Linked DNA regions of Neodiprion lecontei. Each later gene encodes a partner of the first gene's protein in a complex. Links are inferred from orthologs where the notes say so. Each region holds a gene or a part of one and is shown on either strand. Other genes may lie near its edges.

The links.
Region 2: nuclear pore complex protein Nup160 homolog (region 1) and nuclear pore complex protein Nup58 share a complex: the UniProt entries of both Drosophila melanogaster proteins name them as parts of the nuclear pore complex. The link is inferred for Neodiprion lecontei from reciprocal best matches to the Drosophila melanogaster genes Nup160 and Nup58.
Region 3: nuclear pore complex protein Nup160 homolog (region 1) and nuclear pore complex protein Nup214 share a complex: the UniProt entries of both Drosophila melanogaster proteins name them as parts of the nuclear pore complex. The link is inferred for Neodiprion lecontei from reciprocal best matches to the Drosophila melanogaster genes Nup160 and Nup214.

The regions. Positions count from the first base shown.
Region 1 is NC_060263.1:38,145,904-38,153,689, forward strand, and holds the start of nuclear pore complex protein Nup160 homolog, read left to right. Parts: upstream 1-1,772; 5' UTR 1,773-1,910; coding exon 1,911-1,992; intron 1,993-2,307; coding exon 2,308-2,621; intron 2,622-2,714; coding exon 2,715-2,808; intron 2,809-2,880; coding exon 2,881-3,413; intron 3,414-3,558; coding exon 3,559-4,362; intron 4,363-4,500; coding exon 4,501-4,931; intron 4,932-5,088; coding exon 5,089-5,310; intron 5,311-5,430; coding exon 5,431-6,113; intron 6,114-6,199; coding exon 6,200-6,544; intron 6,545-6,645; coding exon 6,646-6,828; intron 6,829-6,939; coding exon 6,940-7,106; intron 7,107-7,233; coding exon 7,234-7,467; intron 7,468-7,629; coding exon 7,630-7,731; 3' UTR 7,732-7,733; exon of another isoform or gene 7,734-7,786. Other genes in the region: solute carrier family 35 member E3, read right to left, coding at 266-334, 409-547, 678-760, 846-998, 1,085-1,576. UniProt on the Drosophila melanogaster protein: Functions as a component of the nuclear pore complex (NPC). Involved in poly(A)+ RNA transport. Required for nuclear import of Mad. May play a role in double strand break DNA repair. Essential for nephrocyte development.
Region 2 is NC_060265.1:8,735,740-8,743,626, forward strand, and holds the start of nuclear pore complex protein Nup58, read left to right. Parts: upstream 1-1,886; 5' UTR 1,887-2,017; coding exon 2,018-2,088; intron 2,089-2,439; coding exon 2,440-2,792; intron 2,793-3,095; coding exon 3,096-3,306; intron 3,307-3,432; coding exon 3,433-3,806; intron 3,807-3,915; coding exon 3,916-4,140; intron 4,141-4,686; coding exon 4,687-4,761; coding exon of another isoform or gene 4,762-4,769; exon of another isoform or gene 4,770-4,771; intron 4,772-4,923; coding exon of another isoform or gene 4,924-4,940; exon of another isoform or gene 4,941-5,073; intron 5,074-5,554; coding exon of another isoform or gene 5,555-5,565; exon of another isoform or gene 5,566-5,587; intron 5,588-5,730; exon of another isoform or gene 5,731-7,164; coding exon 7,165-7,352; 3' UTR 7,353-7,887. UniProt on the Drosophila melanogaster protein: Component of the nuclear pore complex, a complex required for the trafficking across the nuclear membrane. Together with Nup54, required for transposable element silencing regulation in ovarian follicle cells.
Region 3 is NC_060262.1:33,074,780-33,082,473, reverse strand, and holds nuclear pore complex protein Nup214, read left to right. Parts: upstream 1-1,693; coding exon 1,694-1,855; exon of another isoform or gene 1,856-1,926; coding exon of another isoform or gene 1,927-1,959; intron 1,960-2,270; coding exon 2,271-2,564; intron 2,565-2,688; coding exon 2,689-6,634; intron 6,635-6,723; coding exon 6,724-6,922; intron 6,923-6,977; exon of another isoform or gene 6,978-7,236; coding exon 7,237-7,264; 3' UTR 7,265-7,373; downstream 7,374-7,694. Other genes in the region: integrator complex subunit 4, read right to left, coding at 7,545-7,694. UniProt on the Drosophila melanogaster protein: Part of the nuclear pore complex. Serves as a docking site in the receptor-mediated import of substrates across the nuclear pore complex including emb, RanGAP and phosphorylated Mad. Protects mbo/Nup88 from proteasomal degradation at the nuclear pore.

The DNA of each region.
Region 1 (7,786 bases):
AACAGAACACACTTTTTTTCACCCAGTTTAAATATATTTGAGAAAATAGGGTGAAGGAAAAAAAATTTGATTGGTCCTAGGTGGGGAAAATTGTATTCAAAGAATTCAGAACAGATTGGACATATTTTGAAACTTCTGTTATATCATCATCATAAAAGATCTATTTGTTCAATATTCTTAGGTTTCAGTAAGGGAAATATTAAATAAATAATAAAATCGGCACATTGTATCACAATTTTCTTTTTATTATTTTTCTGTTCAAGTGCTACGTCTTATAAAGTGGCTTGCCTTCTTCCAATGTCAAACGTGAAATATTCGATATGCCGTCTTTCATCTGTAAACAAAAAGACCATATTTGATTAAATTTCACACCGTAAATTTACCAGCACGGTGAAAACACATACTTGCCTTGACTCGAGCATATAATACAATTCCAATCAACGTCAGAGTAATTCCGATAGCCTGATTCAGTGCAAGTGATTCGTGGAATATAATAGCGCCACCAAGTAAAAGAAGGCAAAATTTTGAATGTCCAACCATATTATAACTGGAAAACTTTATGTAAGAACATATTGAGAATTGCTGTGCGCATGGCAAATAAATTGGGTAGATAATAATTTTTCATCGAATTAAAAAATTTCATTTAAAATAACAATTCCTTGTTTGAATAAGGATACGTTAATGGTGATGTGTATCCTATTATCCAGTACGATGTTAAGTTCACAAAAAATGCTACGACGCTCGATAGCAGCACCATCAGCTGTGGAAATAAAAAAATTATCCCTTTAGTTAGCAAATGTTTAAACTTTAGTATTGAAAAGTAGTCAAAGTGTCTTTCAACTTACAATATCTGTAAATGTCCAGCTATGCTGGAGGGTGTTACCAATGGGTTCCAGAAATGGTACGATCACAAACAGCATTGCTGCAGATAACGGTGCTTGATAATAAAGGAGCTGCATAGGATCCATTTGGAATTCCTTTTGCTTTCTGCTGACCCACTGGAAAAAATGTGCAAAACCATGAGCTTCAAGTATGAAACAGGTTACGGAATTCATCATAAAGCAGTGAGAGTTATCCTACTTACAACTTGATACAGAGATGTAACAATAACACCTAGAGTAGCGTAAATAGTCCCAAGAATATTAAACCTAATGTCGTAATAAAAGTTGATGACAACTCCAGCTATGATGGGTATTAATGTTAGTTTAACAAGCAAACCGAATTTCTTTTTATAACATATTGCCTGCATAACAACGACGCAGGGGGTTGTAAGCATTTTAGTAACTTGATAAGTGCCGATCGTGTTGTGTTCCAGACTCAGATTAGTAAGGACAACAAACCCACAGAAAGTTAGGGCGATAGGTACCATTTCTTTAATGGCAACATCTTTTATACAAAATACATCCAATTTTTCACAAATGATTAGCCCAAGAAATGTTATTGCAAAGTGTATCATGGACAGGGTGACATTTGGAAATCCAATCCTCACGTACACCATTTTATTTAACAATACAATAAGTATTGAAAAAAATATATTTAGTACTAAGCAGAGAAATGTTAATACTCTTTTGTTCATTTTCTCAGACTATTATTGAGATCTTTATGGCGCGATAAATATTCTCTGACATTTACGTCACCGGTTACAGGTTAGGTTGAGCATCTTTACTTCATCCAAGTTAGGGTTATGTATTCAATTGTATATGTTTTGTCGAACACTGCTGCCATCTACCGGGGTTTCCATGACGACGAAACTCCCCTCGAGCTGCGCGCCAATTGATCTGAAAACCCGCGCGCGGAAATTTTAGCAACTAAAAGCGTCTTTTTTGGGCATGAAGATTGGGCTAAAGGTTTTTCAAATATTATTCCTTAATATGGTTAATATCTGAAAGAAACTTATAGCAACCGACAACATGGAGTTCCCTCTTGGTTACAGGGAAGTTATACCCGATCAAACATTACCGGAGAAGTGGAAAGAAATCGTGATAAATGCTGGTGAGATAACCTAACCTCTATCACACAAACTTCCGATGAAGAATTATTTTTCGCATTCCTTGTATGAACCGATTAATAATTACGCTCGATAAGACATGTATGACATTCAAACACTCCGTTTATCTCCTATTTATACGGACACGTATTTTTCCTTTTATGTTTTACGTCCCAACAAATGTTATACCTCATTACTATTGTTGATACTCTGATGATGAGCATTATTGCATTCAATAAAAATTCGTACAGTATAACTGTCACAACCCTTAATTTTTTTTTCTGGTTCAATACTATTCAGTAACTCTTCGCTTATTACAGGCGGTAGTCAAAGTACTTTACAAGATATAAAAGTCCCTGAGAGAGCGGGCGGATACTCTTACAAAGACAGCACTAAGCATTTTACAAGAAATCGTTTCATCTACTGGCGCATATCCCACGACGTTCTTGAACTTGTCGAGCACAGTCTAGATGTGAATCTTGCCAACTGTAAAGTAAGATACAAATTTACGGACCGGCCACTCTTGGATGGAATTTCTATACATGAGACAGTTAACTCTGTTGTGATATTAGTGGTCACTGTATCCAGTGTTCACAAACTCACTTTTCCGCATCCAGATAAAATACATCGACAGGTAGGACCAATATTTTGTCACACACTTAATTTTAATCTTCTTTTTCTGATACCTTAAAATCTTCAGTTTTTTTCATTTTCATATCCTTTGCAGGAACATGTATTGGGCTCTCACTCGGACCTTAGTGTTCCATCAATCCTTAACGATGCATCGAAAAATATTGTTAATGCCAATACAGGGACAACGAGTAAGCTGACATTTGTACTTACCAATATTATAATGTTTGAAAATATTCATTTGAAATGTTTCTCTATTCTAGACACATCAGTGCCACATGCAGCAGCCTCATGGCTGACTTTACCTCAAGAAGAAGCATTGTTTGCGCTCGCATACAGCACTGGAAACATTTTATTAATCCGTCTTGATACAATGACTGGGCTTACTCATACAACTGAATTGAAACAAGATTCAATTGTTCCCCGATTTCTGTCCGGCATCGCGACTGCTTTTAGAGGCCGTAATTCTGAAGGACACGTCCCAATGTCGCTTGTCCTACATTCGTATGGTCACGAAATGTACCTTTTCGCTCTATGTCGGGAAGGAAATGTCAGGATGTGGGCCTGCAGTAAAGCCCAGTGTGTGGCAGTTGCAGATATTGCCATGGACAGCAGAGTTCCTTTGCAGGGAGTGCAAGGACACATTTTGAAAAAAACAGTTGGAGTCAATGACAACGAACTTTATTTGGGAACATTTTTAAAATTTGGAACTGGATGCGAGTTTAGCATCCTTAAACCACTGCAGGATGCTGGACTCTTCAAATTTGTCAGGATTTGTACTTTATTTGCGCCAGATGTAAGTATACAATCGTTGTTGCAAATTTCAAACTTTTTCAAGATGAAGAATTTCACGCGCCACTTGAACATCTATTGGTGAATTAGTTAGTTTTTCCAATTCATTATTGCCATTTAAACATAACACCCTAATCGTTATTGTGTAGCAACATTTGGTCGATTTTTCCTTCACACCAACTCGACTGTGGGCAGTGTGGCGAACGACAGACATGGACACAGTAGCCGTGACACATGCAAGGCTACCATTGAATGGTGCACAAGTAAACTCTGAATGGGAAACTGCAGTGCTAGTGCAACCACCAGACAGAGATTACATCGTGAGTGATCCTGGAACAGATCCAAGGCAGGCATACATTGGCTATATTTTTCATCCTGGTCAATTTCCGTTAGCGGACATAACTCGTGCCTTGAGCATTTATCGACGCTCTAACATTATAACAGACACGTCGCTGTCTCCTGCAGTTCTGAAGGAACGTGTGTGTATGGCAGTAGAAGCTCAAATTCAAGCAGAAGTAATGGATTACGAGCTTTCAGATGATGACTATTTAGAGATAGCCAATCGCTGCTGGTCCAAATTCTATTCCTGTGTAATTCAATACTACGCCAATGGTACAAAACCTGTTGGGTTGTTGTTATTACCAAATGTATATGGGGCAGTTTTGCTGAAAAAGTCAGCGTTTTCCCTGTTACGGCCAATGGAGGCGCTTGAACATTTAATGTTATGCAATGACAAATCATATGTGCAAAGATTCAGTACTACACCAGTCTTGTCCCAAGATGAAGATACTTGTCAAAATTTAATCACATTGATGTCCGCATTAGTTTTGCTCGACAATCAATTGACTGAGGATTTGAAAAGTGGAATTGAACGCGAACTATATCATTTACGCAGTCCAGACATTATTATTGAAGATTTGTTATGCAAACAAGTACTAGAGACTGAAGACCCTGTGAGTAGTTCTATTTAAGCTTTTGTAACACTACCTAAAGCCCATTTTATTTATTATCTTTACCAAGTGAAGAGAATTGAGACTTACTCTGCGAAGTTCTTAAGTATAACGTCACCTAAGCCATTTGTTTAATTCCAGTTATCCGATTACGATTTTCAATCGGAATTAAATCGTAAAATAGAGAACACCAATGACATCTCACAAGCGATGGCTATGCTGGTAGAAGCACTGACTTATGATCTTGGTCAACCAAGTAAATTGCAGCTCGATGAGGTGCAGGAAGCCTCTCGAATCCTGCTGAATGTCAGTCACTTGTTCAGCAGCCAGTTAGGAATGTCAGCCATAACTGAAAGCGTATCGCAAATTACTCAGCTCAGATTTTCAATCTGTAGAAATCTGCTGATCCTACAACAATTAGTTTTGAAGCGGCCTGAAGCATTTGATCCAAGGTCCTTACACTCCATAAATTCTTCACTGGCACCTAGAACGGTTGTTCTAACACAAGCGTATTATGCAGTTATGTGGATTTGTGAATCAACCGCCAGTTCGTCACCAACTCAAACTTTACTGTAAGTGCAAATTTTTATGTAACTAGAGATTCTAGCAGAATCTAGTCTTTTCGTTTGCTTCAAAGTCAATTTCTTCTATGCTACATCATCCAATCCATTCGTACCTAGCATTTATGAAACCATGTGTGAAATTAATATATTTCAATTTGAATTTCAGAGACACCAGTATTCAGCATCTAAGCCTTTTAAAGCTTTCAGATTCCGGAGTAAATATTGTTCAGAGACAACAGAGATCATTGTCTCTTTTAGAATTGTTTATGCATAGCGGAGGTGCAAAACATGCCCACACTTTGATGGCTCATACGATAACTGATACGTGTGGCCTTGTACCATGGCATGAAAGTATGCTAACACATGTTACTCTGATGGCTCAGTTCGTGTATCCTTTCAACAAAGAGTTTTCTGAGAAAATAACTTCTAATCACACTATGAAACATATGATACATTAATGAAATCCAATGAATCACGTTAGTTCTTTTTCCTTGACTTTTCAAAACAGTTGGCCAATATCAGGAAATTTTATTTTTCCCGAATGGCTTTTATCAAGCTGTCAGCATTTGCTTGTTCAAGAGTACGTTAGAATGTTAAGTACTTGGTGCGAATGGAACAGTGCCTCTCGCAAATTTATCATGGCAGTGTCTTTGCTTGAAATGGGTGAAACACACAAGGCCTGTGATCAATTCCTTGGAGCGTGCAACGGAATTTTGACAGACACATTTTTGGCCAGCACCTTACTAGATGCCTGTATAGTGTCTGAAAGTAGCATGCGAGTTAATTACTTCTTGAAGGTGATCCAGCTGTTTGAACATCATAATGCCGCAGATTGTATAATAGAGCTGGCAGAAACTGCAATCACAATAGCTGAAGATGACAACCCAAATTTGCCCACGCTCCATTCAATCGTATTTAGACAACATCTGAATCTCGAACATCATACAGAAGCATATCATTGGCTTAATTCTAACCCAGATCCTTCCCGAAAAGTTGACTGCTTGAGGCAACTAGTAGCAACATTATTTGAGAGGAACAAATTACTGGAATTAGTTACATTTCCTTATGTCGAGATGTACGAAGATCTGGAAAGAATTATTGAAGGCAGGGCACGGAGTATGGATCTTATGGAAAATAATTACTATAATTTTCTCTATAGCTTCCATATAAATAAGGGAAACATGCGAAAAGGTACGATTCATTAGTATCAAGTGAAAATACATTCTTGCTCCCATTTGTGCATCATTTCATTTCGTAATGTATACATATTTTTTCAGCTGCTTCAGTGATGTACGAACAAGGCATGCGACTAGGACAGGAATCCCATTCTCCTGCAATTATACTAAAACAGTCTCGATGTTTGTTGGCTTGTATCAATGCACTGCATCTTGTAAAGGAAAGATATAGATGGATTGTGCGCCCTGTGGCTGATCAAAGGCAATCGGGGGAAACTGATCCCGTAAAAAAACGGAGTATAGATGGCAGGGAAGTTTTGCATTATAAAGTGAAGAAACAAGTAGAAGTGTTAGAATTGAAAGAGATCAAAGATGAGTATTACATCGTTACAGCAAGATTAAAATTAGCCAAATTAAGTCCGGAGTTACAAACAATCGCACGTGCTGGTGAGTTTTCTTAAAAATATGTACATCGACTTTCTTTGGATATACTCAATGAATAGTCCACGGTTGAATATTTGATTAATTGTTCTTATACAATTTCATAGGGCCGTCCGAACTTGTCGCAATTTTATCCAATGTTGGTTTGTACACGACTGCTTTACACTTGTGTGACCAATTTAGTTTATCGAAAACTTCTGTACTTGAAAATCTGGCCTCACAATGCGTAACTCTGAGCTATCAAGAAGACATTGACGCTTGGGATTGGCTAATACATAACGAAATTTTTGGTAAGTTAAAATTTATTTGTTTGCTAATTTCACAATGTCTTTTTGTGTATGGAATTATACATTGAGTGTATAAGGTCGACAAATTTCAAGGAATGCATATATTTCTTACAGATAAAGGCGTATCAGATTCGAATGTCACAAATATTGCTTGGAGATTATTGGAGCATCTCACATTGAAACACGAACGGGATAATAGCAGTGAATTGCACAAAGCTGTTACGAAAAATCTACTGCATCACGGTGCCTTTCTTCCACAGTGGCTAATGTCTTCTTACAAAGTAATTTCTCTTCCGAAGTGTTTTTACTCATTGACTATTATTCTTTTCGCAGTGATAAACTGCAGAAAAAATGGACCTAACTATATTAATAGCGAATTAAGTTCATATCCTATATTTTTATTTTCAGGAACGCAATGCGGCAGAAATTCTGAGACTTATTTTAAATTCCGGTCGACTTTTAGAAGCGAATGCAATAGCTCTTGAATACATTGGTGCTGTGTTGGGTAGAGGGAAAGAGTATTTTGGTTTGACAACACCACTGGTAGCTACGTCACCTGCTGTGTGGCTTCCATTGAACACATTAGAATTGCTTCTACTAGAACTTGAACATGCTAGCAAAACAGATCCCATGTATATAGAGGTAGAAACCAATTTTGTTGGAAAATATTTACAAAAATAGTTTTTTCTACCTTCAGCGGTTTTCCGATCTTCTCCTATTATCTTAGAGTTACTTGATCACAGCTGTTGGTAGAGCTGAAGTATACTATTGTTATTGATAGTAAGCTTTTACTTTTCATTTCAGAGCTACGAAGAATTGAAAGAAACCTTAGACTACTACATCGAAACAGTTATCAGAGTTTCAGAAGATATGATACAAATGAAAATAAACAGTCGAGTTGTTTAACAGTAAGTATATTTTCGGAACATTGTAGGATAACAATGATGATCAGTAAATCAGT
Region 2 (7,887 bases), on another chromosome or scaffold:
TGAATGAGAAATGCCGGGGGAAATGTTTAAGAACGAAGCGAAAATTTGCGGTTCGATAAACTTTGAGGAAGTATAATATATTTCGAAGTAAAAAATATCCATGTGCAAAGAGTTGCGTAATATTAAAATCATAGTCCGGTCCGAATGTATAGAAATTCAATCGACTTCGTTCGACGAAGAACAGAGAGCCGGCAATTTCTTTACAATTTCGTTAGATGCCCAGGAACATATCCTGAAGTTTGCCAAAAAAGTTCGATCCGGATTTTAGCAGCAAATTTTTTTGAAATTTGAACAAACTGTAAATTGCGGAAGTTATTTATTTAGTTATTTATTTTTGTTTTTGTTGGTTTCAGTGAAAAATGGTTCCTACAAAAGTTTTCCATCGTATTGCCTTTTATAAAATTAGTCCTATACAAAAATAATGTATCATTGTTAGTTTACTTGAAAAATCCTGACAAGCACTGGGATCGGCCGTTTTGTTTATTGCTATTAATTCGGTGAATTTTCAATTCCATGTCCCGAAACTCACCCGACGTGTAGAACAATCTTTTCTCGAATTTTTCATCCAAAGTTTACCCGGCTACGCTGCCTAGTTGAGCAACAATAAACGGTCCACGTAAATCCGCACTTCTTCGATAACTTTTGTCAGATTATTTCTACCATGTGGAAAAAAATAGTCGGGATAATTTTCAATGCCTACTTTCAAAGTGTAACAGGGAAAAAGTAATTTTTGTCAACAAAGAAAGTTTTTTATAGATTTAAAATTCTAGCTCGTAAAAAAGTGTGAGCAATTTCATTCATTTTCAAATTACTCTAGATATTTTTCAAGACTCCGGTGACTTTTTCCAAAACGCGTAATTGAAATAAAAAGTTTCAATAAGTTAATTAGAACCCGAGATATGGACATTACCTTTTATTCATTTAATAATTTGCTAATTACTATGTTCGATCGGTTCAAGTTTGAGAATATTTGTCACTTCTTCAGGTATTACAATAAATATTTTTTTAAGTTTCCACAAAATTAATCCCATTGCAAGCAACAAGTTTTAAAAATTGTCCTAGAAATTAAATTTTGTTTTTGTTACAGCATAGTTTTTTCTCACCAAACCGAAAATTGGTGGGTTCGATTATTTGCTCACTAACTATAAAAAGGGGTTGTTAGTGACATGATAATAGTGGGAAAAGGGTGACGTGACAAATTTCAATTGGTTATCATCAATCATATATTTCATATTTTTTTAAAATGTTATTCAAAGTAGGTAGTAAAGCAATAACAGCTACTTGAATAGCTGCCGGTTTGCCAGAACCCGGCACGCGGTATTCAAGTAATATAAATGGATTTTGAAAATGTCCATATAATGAAATGATACGATTATTTCGAATGAATACTAAACTAAACGAATTCCGTGTTGCTTATTTTAATCACTTCGTGTATAAATATAAGATTGAAATTTTTTTGTAAGCTTCGTATTTGATGGTCCTCAGGGAGCTACGGCTCTAGGATCAATTAAAACTTTTTATCTATCCTTCGATCTAAACTGAGGCAGGCTGATTCATTCGAAAATGTTGTTAAGTGTTTAAATTTACCGCTTGTTAGCAACACATAACGAAATTGGAAGCAACAAGTCGAATCATCAAGTTTGTATGCATGAGGTAGCATACCAGCACTGGCATTCGTGACTGGGAAACAGCAATCTCAATACATTTTGTCTCGCTCCCTCCGCGCTTTGATTGGCCGAAGTAGGGCGCACAGCCAATCGCAGCGCAGAGCGACAGAGACAGAATGTACTTGTATTGCCTTGACCCCGTGACACGTGCAACCATTGGGATGCTATCTCCATGCGTACATATAAGCTCGATGGTTCAAATTGGCGGCAACGAACAGCGACATCGTGCGACACGCGGGCGACCTTAATCCTTGAGAAGTGAAGTTTCAAGCCATGTCTTGAATGTAATGTTTTGCCGAGACGTAGTATAGATATTTTTAAATATTAGATTGAAAACACTCGCAAGAAGCATGTCGAAATTTGGGTTTGGCACTCCTGCTACCGGAACCACGACAACAACCTTTGGATTTGGTAATCAAAAGTAAGTCTTGTCATCTGACAGCGAACACTCCCTCAAACTTGGCGGTAATCATCCTAACCTCAAAACTCTCATTCTCGTGAAAGATGAATAACTTTCGCGGATCACTGCGGTGATCCAATTAAAACTTATCATTGTATCATCTACTTTAATTTTCTTCAATACTTCATTGTGTGTCATAACTTGAATGCAATTAGGAATACGTTAGCTACTAGTAATGCTTTCCGAAAACAAGTTCAAGACTAGCAATTACTGATATTCGCAGTCAATACTTGTAACGCAAATTATCGATTCTATTCCCAATTCTATTACCCTCTGAGACAAACGATTAACGTATCTCAATCCTATTTTCAGACCAGCTCCAGCGTTTTCAACAGTCACACCGTCGTTCGCAGCGACGTCAGCTGCAACTGGTGGCTTATCCTTTAGTACAGCCATATCTGGAACATCAACGACTCCGAACTTTGGATTCGGTAGCACAGCCGGTACTTCGACCACTTCGCAAGCCTCGAGGCCTTTCGGCTCTGGAGGAACAGCCATAACAAGTGTATCTTCAGGTTTATTTTCAACTCCGATTGTCTCGGCAGCCCCGACTGGCGGTCTCAGTTTTGGTACACCCGCTGCTACGACAGGACTGAATTTTGGTACTAGTGTTGGCACTCAACCTACCAACACTTTAAACTTTGGTACCACTACAACCACGGGTTGTTAGTATTGTTCTCTTGAGTATTTTTAGATTATAGCAATGTTAGGAATAACATAAGGGAATGATTCACTGTAATGCTTCTTGCTGATCAAAATTTATCTCCAACTGGCTTATTACCTTACTGAGCTTTGTAGTAGTTCTCATAAGTAGAAACTCTACCAGGCAAGTCAATTTTTCTTCTATAAACTTACTTGCGTTACAAAGTTTCGCTTTGCCAAACGTGTAATTTTTTAGAAAAATTCAACCACGCTTTGCAGTAATGAGTCCTGCCTAATATTTTATCGAACGATTTCTTTACTTTCAGCATCTCTTTTTGGTGCTGCACCTGTCGGGGGTTTGTTTGGTGCCAAACCTGTGAACTCAGCCGCCCTAACGGCAACTACTAATATCCAGGGCCTTGGTGGCGTTGATGTTTCTGCCAACAAACTAGGTTTAACTCAAGGAAGTAGTAGCCCAACAGCAGCTAAGGAAAACCTCATACCCAATGAACTTACACAGACTATTGAAAACTTCAAGTAAGTAATCATGGCATAACAATGAAGTTCAATTTGGAAGACGTTTATTAGCTTTTTTGTCAAATTGGAGTAATAAAGACTTTTTTTTTATCATCTTTGTAACGTATCACCCTGAATTTTCACCAGAATATTTATCAAGACCCAGAAGTCATTCACTTCGGACATAGCTCGGGGTTCCGTTAGACCTTTAAATCGCTGCGCCGAAGACACAGCGTCGTTGATGGAACTCCTAACAACTCTCGCTGGTTCGGTACAGCGGGATCGTTCCTTGGCAGACAAATTGAAACAGGACACAGCAAAAGCTTTACAAAATGCAGAAATTGCACAACGAACACACGATACACCAGCAGGACTGCAATATGAGAACAATGCGCCATTGCTGTTCTTTATGGAACTTGCCGATACTTTTGAACAGGATTTATTATTATTCAGATCTCAGATAGAATCCACTGAAAAACATATACATACCATGGTGACACCAAAGACGTTAACTCCACAGGGTGAGTTTACCTTTCTTATTCTCACTTTCATACATCATATTTACAAAGCTCAATTTCTTATACATGTTTTCACATCATCAATCAGACTGACCACATTTTTTGATCCTAGAACTAACAATGGCGATGAGCAAGCTTCACGAATCATTAATAGCAGTCGCGGGAAAGTTGCAAGGTGTACACGCTAAAGTTCAACATCAAAAAGAACAATATCTCAATTTGAGGAAATACGTTTTAAAAGATAGTTCTAACGTATTTGAAGACAGCAAGTTAAACGAAAAAATGAGCAGGATCAGCTCTGGAAAAATCAACAGTGGTCCTACTCCATTTGGTCCAGGTAGGCTAGACAATTCCATAGGCTAATTTGTACGAATGAAGTTTGTCTTCAGGCAATAAAATATATAATAGTAACTAATAATAAAATACATTTGTTGAACCAGCCTTCGAAGTTTACCTCATTGATCTTCTTCCATAACATTTTGAATTATTGTTTGTCAGATAGCTGTTTTAAACGGGTACAGAACTGAAGGGATTATGATAATATTTAATTGTTTATTTTCAATACTTACTAAAGTGATTCCTGTTCACCTTTAACTTACATGTCATTTTAAACCATTCAAATACTCTGGTATACTCTGTACCTGTGAAGATGAAATTTTCGGAATGGCAATCGTGGGTGTTATAAACAGGAACTCTTAATTTGCAAGAATTCTTCCACGTTGTGAATAAATTATTACTTTCGAGCGATTTTTGAAGATGCATGAGTCTCAACTTCATAAGCGATACGTTTTTGAAAACATCGACGTATCTGATTGAGTTGAATTCGTCTCACTTATCCTCGAATGATGATAAATTTGCGATATTGTAAAATTTTTTATTCTAGGAAACAAAAGTTTTTTATCCTCAACAAACCTAAATACCAGCAGACCACCAAACTATGGAACAGCGAACCCTTTAGGTAAATAGTGGTAAGATGAACCTTTAGAAATACTGTGTAATTTATTGGATTTTTTTTTCTATTTTACATTTGTATAAATTTATATCCTCTTCTTCACTTTACTCACGTATTTTTCGATTAGTCACGTATATAAAATACCCCATAAACGTATCCTATATTTAGGTCTTGCAGGGATTTAGTATGAGGTAGAAATTATTACCAATATCAAAAAGTTGACGGAGAATAGATGGATGTAGTAAATTGACGCTATAGCAAACTTTAAATTTTGTTGTAAAAATTAAACATGTAATCTGCTCGTCTTCTATTTCGTGCCATGATTGCACAACGAAATATATATCGTTGAATGCGCATAAATTAAAATTGCTATGAAATATTGACGCACAAATTTTCTGAAAGCATAGGTATAGTATTAATTTTCCAACGCACCATTTGCCATTCTGCACTGCAAGCTTTCCTCAGATTTTGAACTTTGACACAAATAACAATTATCAAACAAAAAAATAGTCATAAAATTCACCAAGACTTTGTACAATTATTCTTTGCTACCAAAATATGAATTCATATACGTTATTACTGTGCACGTTGCGTTTATATACTGATTTAACAAAACCAGAGCAACTACACAACTCTGCTACATCCGTTTGCTCTATAGCTTCATTAATTTGACTCCTTTGTTTTCGTTACATAGCAGTTATTCATTCAAGTGTGATATCGTTGATTGACAATTTTACACTGTAGCTATCACTAAATATATTTATTATCTGTTTGATTTGTATTTATTTTGCCTTTACAGGAAAAAAGTAGTGGCTGTTTATTAGTATTTGAGGTATAGCATTTGTTTTTTATTTTCATTATTATATAGTGTTTTGTGTTCGGGGAACCTAGAGGGATTTTTCTTCAAGTAGCATAAATTATCATCACTCTTCATTTTAATTACTTATGTTGCTAATATCAAATTTTTTCAAAAGCTTGAATGTAACGGTATTAATTTTTCTATTTGAAGGGACAGTACAGCTTGAATAGCTTTTACCTTACTAAAAACCTTGCATGGAAAATAACTACATGCTTTTACTTCATGCTTTAGATGCTACTATTACAGATATTATTGAATAAAAATTGGTCACCTTATTTGTAATTTGTACATCACATTTGATCTGAAACTGTATAATGACTGAAGACAAATTACAGACAAGATTTGGTAAAGAAACAAAATTATAAATTGGCAAAGGACCTCTATTCAGTTCGTTTCAATGCTTATGTAAATTACATATACACTCGCTTTCGACTCTGTTATTTAAAAAGTAACGAGACACTTATAATCTTATTGACAGTTGCGAATTCCCTTGAATATGACTAGTGACAGTGGAATACTTTCATATGAAACTACCAAATGTGTCAGATTTTTCAAAATAATTTTGAAACATGCACGAGTTTTTCACTTTTTTATTAACGATAATCGCCAGTGAACCACAAACATACTATCTTGCAGTTCATTAGTGGTTATTCTTGCTAAAATCGAATATTCTTGCGAAAATTCATATGTCGATCAATAGATTTTTGAAAAATCTAATATTCCGTAGATCCCTCGTGAGTTGTGAAGGGGAAAAAAACAGCCGATTCACAGACAAAGACGCGGAATGATTGCATCATTTAATATGGGATGACTTTATGACGGAAATGCTTTAGGAAAGTCTTTTTGTTTTAATTCGAACAGTAAACCTTCTTGCATCCATTATAAAGAATATGCTTATCATGAACAACATATTGTTGTATTAATTTTTTATTCACTCATTCTTATGCATAGTTATATAACTCTTGTCTTTGCAATGGTGATTAAAAATTAGATTTCATTAATTCCCTATGTCAAATTCATCTGAAATTGCTTTGGCTTTAGGTGAACAGGCTTATGCTTGGACAAGAAAAATGCATGATTCTAACAATGTACTGTTAGGATTCTCCCGAGCACACCTAGATATATTTAAATATTACCCATTTGATTTTGTGCTTTGTAAAATTTTTGTTTTGTTTTTTCAACTAAGGGGGTCTGTAATTTTTTTTTAAATCAATATAACCGGATATTTATCTAGGCTGCTTTTCTTTTATGGAACACAAATCAATACAGAAATATAATAATGCAATGTGCTTCGTAAAAGTAATGTTAAGTCGTTTTAAGTAAGGGGGATTGTACTTATTTTAAATCGAGTAATGGGATACCTATGGAGGCTGCCTTTCTTTTATGGAACACAAATCAATACAGAAATGTAATAATGGTTTTAATATATACGCTGACATTTTTTTTCTTATTTTCGGAGAGCTTAAAAGGTAGTTTACTGCCCTCAAGGTGTGTGTAAATTTAATTTTGTAATACTTTCTAGAGGCGATGTAATAATGAAATTGTTTCAGCTTGGGGTAATGCAACGTCATTACAAACAGCCAGTAGTATTTCAGTTGGTGCGTCTGCCAAACCACCAGCAACAGGTTTGAGTTTTAACACACCGTCAAACTTGGCAACTTCTCTATCAGCAACAGACTCCAACTTCAGTTTTCAACTTCAAAAACCACCAACTGGTAACAAGAGACATAAGCATTAAAGTTGATGAAAAAAAAATCTAAGTGTATTTTGGTATTACATTCGTCGCATAAAATCCAGATGAAACGATTGTATACTGGAAAATATTGTTTCATGGATTTTTATCCCGAGAAATTGGATGTAATAAGGGGTATTACAGTATTGGAAGGACCAAACGTGTGCTCGGTATGAGTACCTGTCTAAAAGTCAAAAATATGTAAAATCATGAATCTTAGTGATATTCGAAGAAAAAAAAAATCGAAACTAATTTATTTGTCATTTTTTTAGTCGAAAAATCTGTAATTAAATCCCAAACATAATCAAAGTGGACTTACGAAGAAACAAATTCCATACTTTCATATTTACGATTCGAATTGGGCAAATGTATTTTTAATGAGAAGCAAACTCGCATGAATGCCGAGGGTCATAAGGGAATCTGTGAATAATAGTTGTTTTCGTATCTTTTTGTACACTTAATTTTCTTAGAAGACAAAGTCTTATCATGTCAAGAGTTTTGTTTTGCGAGTAATGTAAGTGCGTAATAAGACTTGTTTTAC
Region 3 (7,694 bases), on another chromosome or scaffold:
TCCATACAAACACTTTCCGAAAAACAATTCTGCTTCTCTACCCAACGTAGATACTTTACTTGCGACTAGCTAAAACAGCTAAATAGTTCTTAGAATAATTATGAATATCAATGCCATGGAATATATGTATGAGCAAGTGGTCGAGGAGGACGAAGGTGGTCGGAAGTGGTCGGTCGTGGTTGGAGGTGTTTGGAACTGGTAGGAGTTGCTAGGCGTTGGCAGGGGGTGGTAGGGGGTGGTAGAACGTGGTCGGAGATGGTCGACGGAGGCAGGGGGCGGTACGAGGTGACAGGAGGTGGTAGGAGGTGTTAGGTGGTGGTTGGCGGTGAACGGAGATGGTAGGAGGTGGGTAGAGGTGGTAGGAGGTGTTTGGAGGTGGTTGGTGGTGATTGACGGTGGTCGAAGAGGTCGTGGACGATGAGGATGCCGAGGCGGGGGCGGCAGTGGTCGGGGGACAAGGTGGTCGAGGAGGACGAAGGTGGTCTCAGGTGGTCGAAGGTGGTTGACGGTGCTTGGACGTGCTCGGTGGTAATTGGGGGTGGTTGGCAGTAGTCGTGATGGTCATTGGAGGCGGTTGGCAGTGGACGCCAATCTCAAGCTTTCAGGGCGCACTCTGGGCCCACTTGCCCGCCGTAAAGTGGTTACAAAAAGTTACCCAAGGGTATCCGTCTTTATATTCTTCAGTCAACGCTTCTGGTCCGTCCGTTGCTTGCAGCGACTGCAGAGCACGGTCTTACATACAGATTTTTGCAACGAACTGAAATTTGAGTAGTGGGGGTAGCCGCGTTATTGTCCAAATTTTTTTGCCACTACTGGCCACTACGCAGCGCTGTCAGTTATTCATAACATAACAACGTAAGGTTATTTGTGTATGAGTATCAAAAAGATAGGTTAGGGTTCCGTCAAATAATAATAATAAGCTTATGAATAACTCGTAGCGCCGCTCTTGGTGGCCATAAGTTGTACTTTTGTTTCGGACCTGAACTGATCATCCCCCACCACGTTCGTTGCAAGACCTGTATGTAATAGCGTTTTCCACTGGTTGCACTGAGTGTGAACTGAGAGCGCGCTAGCGGTAGACTCGTATTTCCAGCGTGTTCCACTGACAGCTCGGGTGCGTGAATTTAGCATTGAGCGCGTAAAATATTGCACTGAAATCGGGAGTCTGTGTCAAAGTAGTGCAATTATGGCTGCAGATCGTGAAAGAGTCGAAGTAGATGCTGTGACAGCAACCCTTTTATTAGATCTAATTTCATCTTCGTCTAGCAGTGATGATGCTTGCTCGAGCCGAAAGATAGAGAGATTCCCAAAATTTTAAATTTCATAGGAGTAATCCACAGCATGTCCGATATCGAAGTATGGATACACATTTTTTCAGCTTCTAGAGGTTAACTGCTAGGTATATTTCAGGAGATTGGGACAACTTGACTTGCTGCTTATTAATTTTTATCTTTTCAGCGGAATTGTCAATATTTTTTGCCCTTGTATGCTCGTGTTTAACATTTGTGACATTTATTTACAAACAAAAAATTACCGTTGCGTTTGTTCAATTGGCTTCATTATCACTTACTTGAAAAACTGCCAGTCGCGCAGTCGGTCAAGTAACGTCACATTATTTCTGATTTAGGAGAAATTATGATCCAGTCTGCCTTTATACGTTTTACGGCGTGTTCCACTCAGAAGGTTTGCCCCGATGCCGGGCGACGTATGCACGGAACGACTGCCCCCTGTTCGAGCCAGTGCGCACTCAAGTGCAACCAGTGGAAAACGCTATAAGACCGTGCTCCACAGCCAACCTAGCTCCTGCCCTTCCTATCCCACTTTCGATGTTTTCATCCTCATTGATTGGTTAATGGTTAGTCCAATTTTTACTCAAAGGCGCTATAACGTTACAATCAAAAACTTTATTTAATGATAATATAAAAAATGAAGGCGGCACCGGAGCCTAAGGATGTACTGGTACGCTTTTTCTACTATACATGTCTTTCAAATATCCATTTAACAATCTACAATTCAATCGTCAATCATAACCTCAAGGTTTTTTAATTCCCAGTTCAACTTAGATTGATAAAATGAATATAAACAAAAGTTTCAATTGATAACATAAATGTAATATTAGTTGCCATCATTGTGTACTCTAATTGTAACGCTACACTATAAACTATTCATTGAAATTATGGCAATTCAGAGTTATCAACTTTAATTGTACATGTGTAGTAATTAACATTTATTACTGTAGCGTATACAACTGTTATGATGCATTTTTGCAGGAATTTCAATTTAAACAATCCACACATTGGAAAATATCAGATGGATTCAGCTCAATCCCTGTAGCTTGTAGCCTGATTGCAGTAGATGGGAAACGTGGATTGATTTACACAGCTTGCGACCACAAAATCATAGTCCTGAAAAGTGGCCACAGTCTGGACAAGGAATGGAGAAAGGAATTTGTTATGCCAGCAAAAGTTACTTGCCTTGCATTTAATTGCAATTGCTCGTACTTAGCTGTTGTTTTTGATTCTCCCACAGCTTACATTTACAATGCTGCTTCAGTTGTACAACAGGTAGATTTAAAATCTAGAAATAATTTCATTTACTCCACAAAATCAAAATATGAACTGAGGATACTGTTGTGTCCGAACTTGTAATAACAATCTATCTATTTCACAACTATGTGAATATTTACAGCAATTGGAGCTCCTACGAGAGATCAAATTATCGTCCTCATATAATGTCCATATTTTGGATCTTCGTTGGAATCCTTGCATCTCTGGAATGTTATGTACAGTAACAAGTGATCACTCTATAGGCAGTTTTAATATATCATCTGACAAAAATTCATCAGTTCTGACAATATTGGAAAAACTAGAAAAGTTAGATGTGCTCTGTGTGGCTTGGAGTCCCAAGGGAAAACAATTAGTAGTCGGAAGCAAGAATGGAAGTTTGCTACAGTTGAAACCAGATTTAAAGGCAGCCAGAATCATTGCAGGTCCTGATCCGAGCATCGGCAGTGTCATTGCTCTTTTATGGATCAGCAGTTACCAATTTTGCGCTGCCTATTTAGACCCACAAGACTCACGAATTAATGTCCTCATTATAGATGCCCCCAAAGGTGAATCTCAGGGCATCTTTACTTGTTATGAAGATATAACTTATAGCGTGCCCGATGTTGAAGGAAAAGAGGGCAGTCCGCCCCGATACTATTTTGAACATATTGCTGAATGGGGATTAATTATTGCTGCTAGTAGTACCAGTAGTGAAATTGCTGTTCTTGGCTCACTAGATAATGGAACAACATGGCAGCAATGGCAGTTAGTTGACAGTGGAAGAGCTCAGCTACCTCTTGTGCGAACTAATGAAACCTTTCCTGTTGGCCTAGCAGTAGATAGAACATCTGTAAACAAGCTACCGTGGGGTGGAGAGGGCTCAACGCTTCCCCACCCTGTACCTATACTTCATATATTTGGAACTTCCGGGCAACTCTGCAGTTTTCATATGGTAAATTTAATGCCAGGAATTCCACCAGTCTGCTCTCCTCCGACTGAAACTCTTCCATTGTATAGTGAACCACACCCAAGTCTTGCTCCTACAGAAATATCATTTAATTTGGATGGCAGAGTCACCAGCACTCCACGACCTAAACAAATTGAGCCGATCATGGATCGACCAACATCAGCTGTAACCACAAACGTATCTCCGAAGACCTCAGAAGTTTCTATTCCACAACCGCAAACTGAATTGTTTGTAACAAAACCCCCTATTGAGAAAATTGAAGTATCATCGAAAGTAGACACATCACTAGTACCCAGAAAGGAACTAAAAGAGACGGAAAAAGTCAGCATAGACAGTAACGTATGTGTTTTGACATACGAGGAGGTATGCAATGATTTTGAAAAAGAACTGAGTAGTCGTAGGGAAACACAGTCCGTAGATATCGGCTCGCCAGGCGAACGTACGCAACTTATTGAAAAATCTGAAAATATGCAACGCTTCCTAACAGATTTACAGGAAACAACTACTAGTTTGACAAGTGACATCAATTACTTAAAAGCTTTGTTATTGCAGACTTTTGCCTGGCTGGAAGAAACGAAATCTAAATGCTCTTCTAAAGCTTCAAGTAATCCCCAAAATCGAGGAAATAATAATAAGCTGAAAGAATTGCAAAATCTTGTCTATTATATTCAGTCTCAATTGGAGCAAGCTGCAAGAGCCCTAGATTACGAATGGTTCGAGCATGTAAATAAAGAAAAAAATAAAATGAAAGTACCGAGGCTTGATTTCGTTCATCAAATCATGCTTCAGCATTCACAATCTATTGCCAAAGTGGAAAATTTGATTCAAGCTCAGGTTAAGAAGTGGAAAACTCTTACACGTAGAGATATTACTTCTTCATTAAATAAATCCTTGGCCGATATGTCTCTATCTTCATCCGTCAATAACAAAGCTCCTAGTGGTGCTATAGAGTACAAATGTAAAGCAATTGCACAGAGAAATTGCAGCTTTACCTGTGAGAAACAACGCACTTTGAGGAATTTGTTGAACCAAACCACGATAAAGATAATTAAAGCAGCAACCCCTTCAGAAATTCAGGATCGCTTGGAGGCAACAATATCTTCTCTGGCAATGCAAAGTCCACCCAAAGAAGTACAGAGACGTAAGAATGTCTTAATAGAAAAACTGATGCGGGAAGATGCACTACCTGCACCTCCACCTATCCCAGCTGCAAAAAGTCCCTTAGCATCTTTGGATCAAATTGTCGCCAACATTGGATCTGTTGGCATTCAGCCAAACCTTAATTTGCAGAATAAAGCACCAGCCTTGATCGGAACACCTGCTTCCACTCTACCAATCAAAACATCTCAAGTTGGAGTCAAACCTAGTAGCACACAGAATAAGTCCACAGCATCCATTTCTCTTCCGTCGATCAAAGTACCACAAGTGGATGGCAAAGCACGAATAGCTGCTACATTAGTAGCATCGCAAACCCCATCAACAGCACAGTCTGTACAAAGCAAGCCAACTTCTGCTGCACTATTTGGCACACCTCCTACACCTCATACACCTCAAAAACCCATAACTGGCATCCCCAGTGGAATGAAATCTGTGACAATATCAGAAGTATCTCCATTCACATCTTCTGCTTCTAGATCATCGGTATTGCCATTGTTGCCTCCTGCACTGATGCCAACTACAATCACAGCTATTAATAAACCTTTTTCAAAAATTGACACTCTTCCATTTAATTCTGTTATTGCTAAAACTGAGGCACAGCCAACATCTACAACAATATCTACCTCAACAACTACACCAATAGTAGTTTCCACTTCTATACAAACCATCCCACAATCCAGTGTTAGTTTTATGTCAACAGTTCAAACACCAGCGAGCCAAGCGTCGACTTATCCCATTACACTGAAAACATCAAATAGTTCAGTCACCACACAAAGAGCATTAACGACTACAACTTCGGTAAACGTAACAACGTCACAAATCGCGAGTTTTTCATTTGCAACTAAACCTGCAAGTAATACGCCTTTTTCATTCGCCTCAAAATCAGTAGCCAGCCCAACATCAAGCACAGCTCAGTCGTTGGATCTATCAGTCATGGGGTTGGACTTACAGACTTCTAATACTTCGATTAAAAACGTAACATCAACAACAACAGTGGCGGCTGGTGGCTTTTTTGGATCTGTTGGGACGTCATCACCTGGATCAATATTTGGTGGAACTTCAACTATCTTGAAGGATAAGCCAGCAAATCCAATTTTTGGGAATCCTCCTGGGTCTTCGCTGTTTGGCGGGGTCTCAGCGGGTAGTAACATAATATCTTCGTTCAGCGAAAGTGCAACACCTGGTGCGCTAAAGCTACCAGTTTTTGGTAATAGCCCCACTGGCCTAACTGCACCTATTTTTGGTGGATCTGCTGCAAACCCGCTGAAGTCTGTTTCTGGTGAAACACCAGCTGTATCCACAGCTACATCAGGATTTGAAAATTCCGCTAATTTACCATCAGCTTCAGTTTTTGGTAATGTTTCTACCACCTCCGACACTCCATCAATATTTGGAGGTAATTCTACTGAATTTTCAAGTGCACCTACTTTGGGAGGAACTACCAGTCCACCGGCATCAATTTTTGGCAAAGCTAATAACAGTCCCATTAAACCACCAATATTTGCTGGTGACTCTGTTAATTCTTCGACACCCTCCGTTTTCGGCAGACCTCCCGATGCTGAATCATTTACGTTTGGTGGTATTCCAGCTAATTCTACACCACTACCAGCTTTCGGAAGTGGTCCCACAATTTCCACGAGCCCATCAATGTTTGGTGGAGCTATTTCTAATCCCCAAACTGCATCAATTTTTGGTGGTACAGCTCCAACTCCTTCTACCTCATCAGTCTTTGGTACTGTTACACCGTCAAATCAATCAATATTCGGAGGGGCACCTGTAATTCCTACTCCTACTACTAACATCGGCTCAACTTCACCAACACTGACGGCTACTGCACCAGCATTTAGCCAAACAGCAACTTTTGGTGCCAAGCCAGCATTTGGATCCACTTTTGGAGCATCAAAACCTATATTTGGCGGCGGATTTGCAAATACTGCATTTTCAGGTGCTACACAACCTACAAGTAAGCATTTGCTAATTAGTTGATGAATATTTGTCAAAAATATTTTGTCAGTGAACAATTCCATTCAAGTAAAAATATCTGAGTTTCAGCTGCTTTCGGTGGGTTTGGCACGCCATCGCCATTAGGAGCTAACTCCGGTAGTATCGGCAGCAGTTCAATGCAGAAAGTATTTGGTGAAAGCAGTGGAAGTAGTACCTTTGAAAATCTTGCCACTCAGGAAGGAGGATTAACTTTTGGCAATTTAGCTCAGAAGCAACAAGAACCAGCAGCCCCACCACCCTTTTCAGGGTAAGCAAATTATCCTTAAAATGTTTTATGCGTTTCTGAGAAAGATATCAATACGAAAAATTAACATATTTTATTCACTCAAGTGTGCTGATTTGTATCAAGAAGAATATCGCGCTCAATTCAACTTCGAATATGTAAAATGCTGATATCTTAAAACTTATTTGATAGCATTGAGGCATAATTGAGGGTAAATACCTTAGAATATAGTTAGCTTGGATCAAAATTAAACAATAATCCCAGAATACTATGATCTGAATATCGTTACATGATTTGATAAATTCACTTGTTTTGAAATCAATTGGTTACTTTTCCAGAGGAAGCTCGTTCCAGAGTTGGAGATAATGAAATCGACTGTGACCACATCAAGATTCATCAAGATTATCCCAATATACAAGTCGATCCGATAAGTCTCTTTTTATAACATGTATGAAAGTCTTGTAGTAAAATATTTGTACGACATTGTTGAAAGTTAAGACTATATTTTTAATCACTATAGATATAAGATTTTGTATTAATTTTAGTGTCAGATGTTATGAAATTATTGTTATGGTCTTTAAATAATAATTATGCTTTTATGCGCAAAGCATATATGTTTATTGATTGTCCAAAATATCATATTCATTTAGATACCTCTTTTGATTGGCTTGGGAGAAACAGAAACTTTGACAGGCTTGCACAAGTCAATAACACATGGATCGTCAAGTGGAGGATGCGTGCAAATAGGTGACGATGGAACAAGAAGCGATAATGAAACTTCCACGTTACAAGCTTC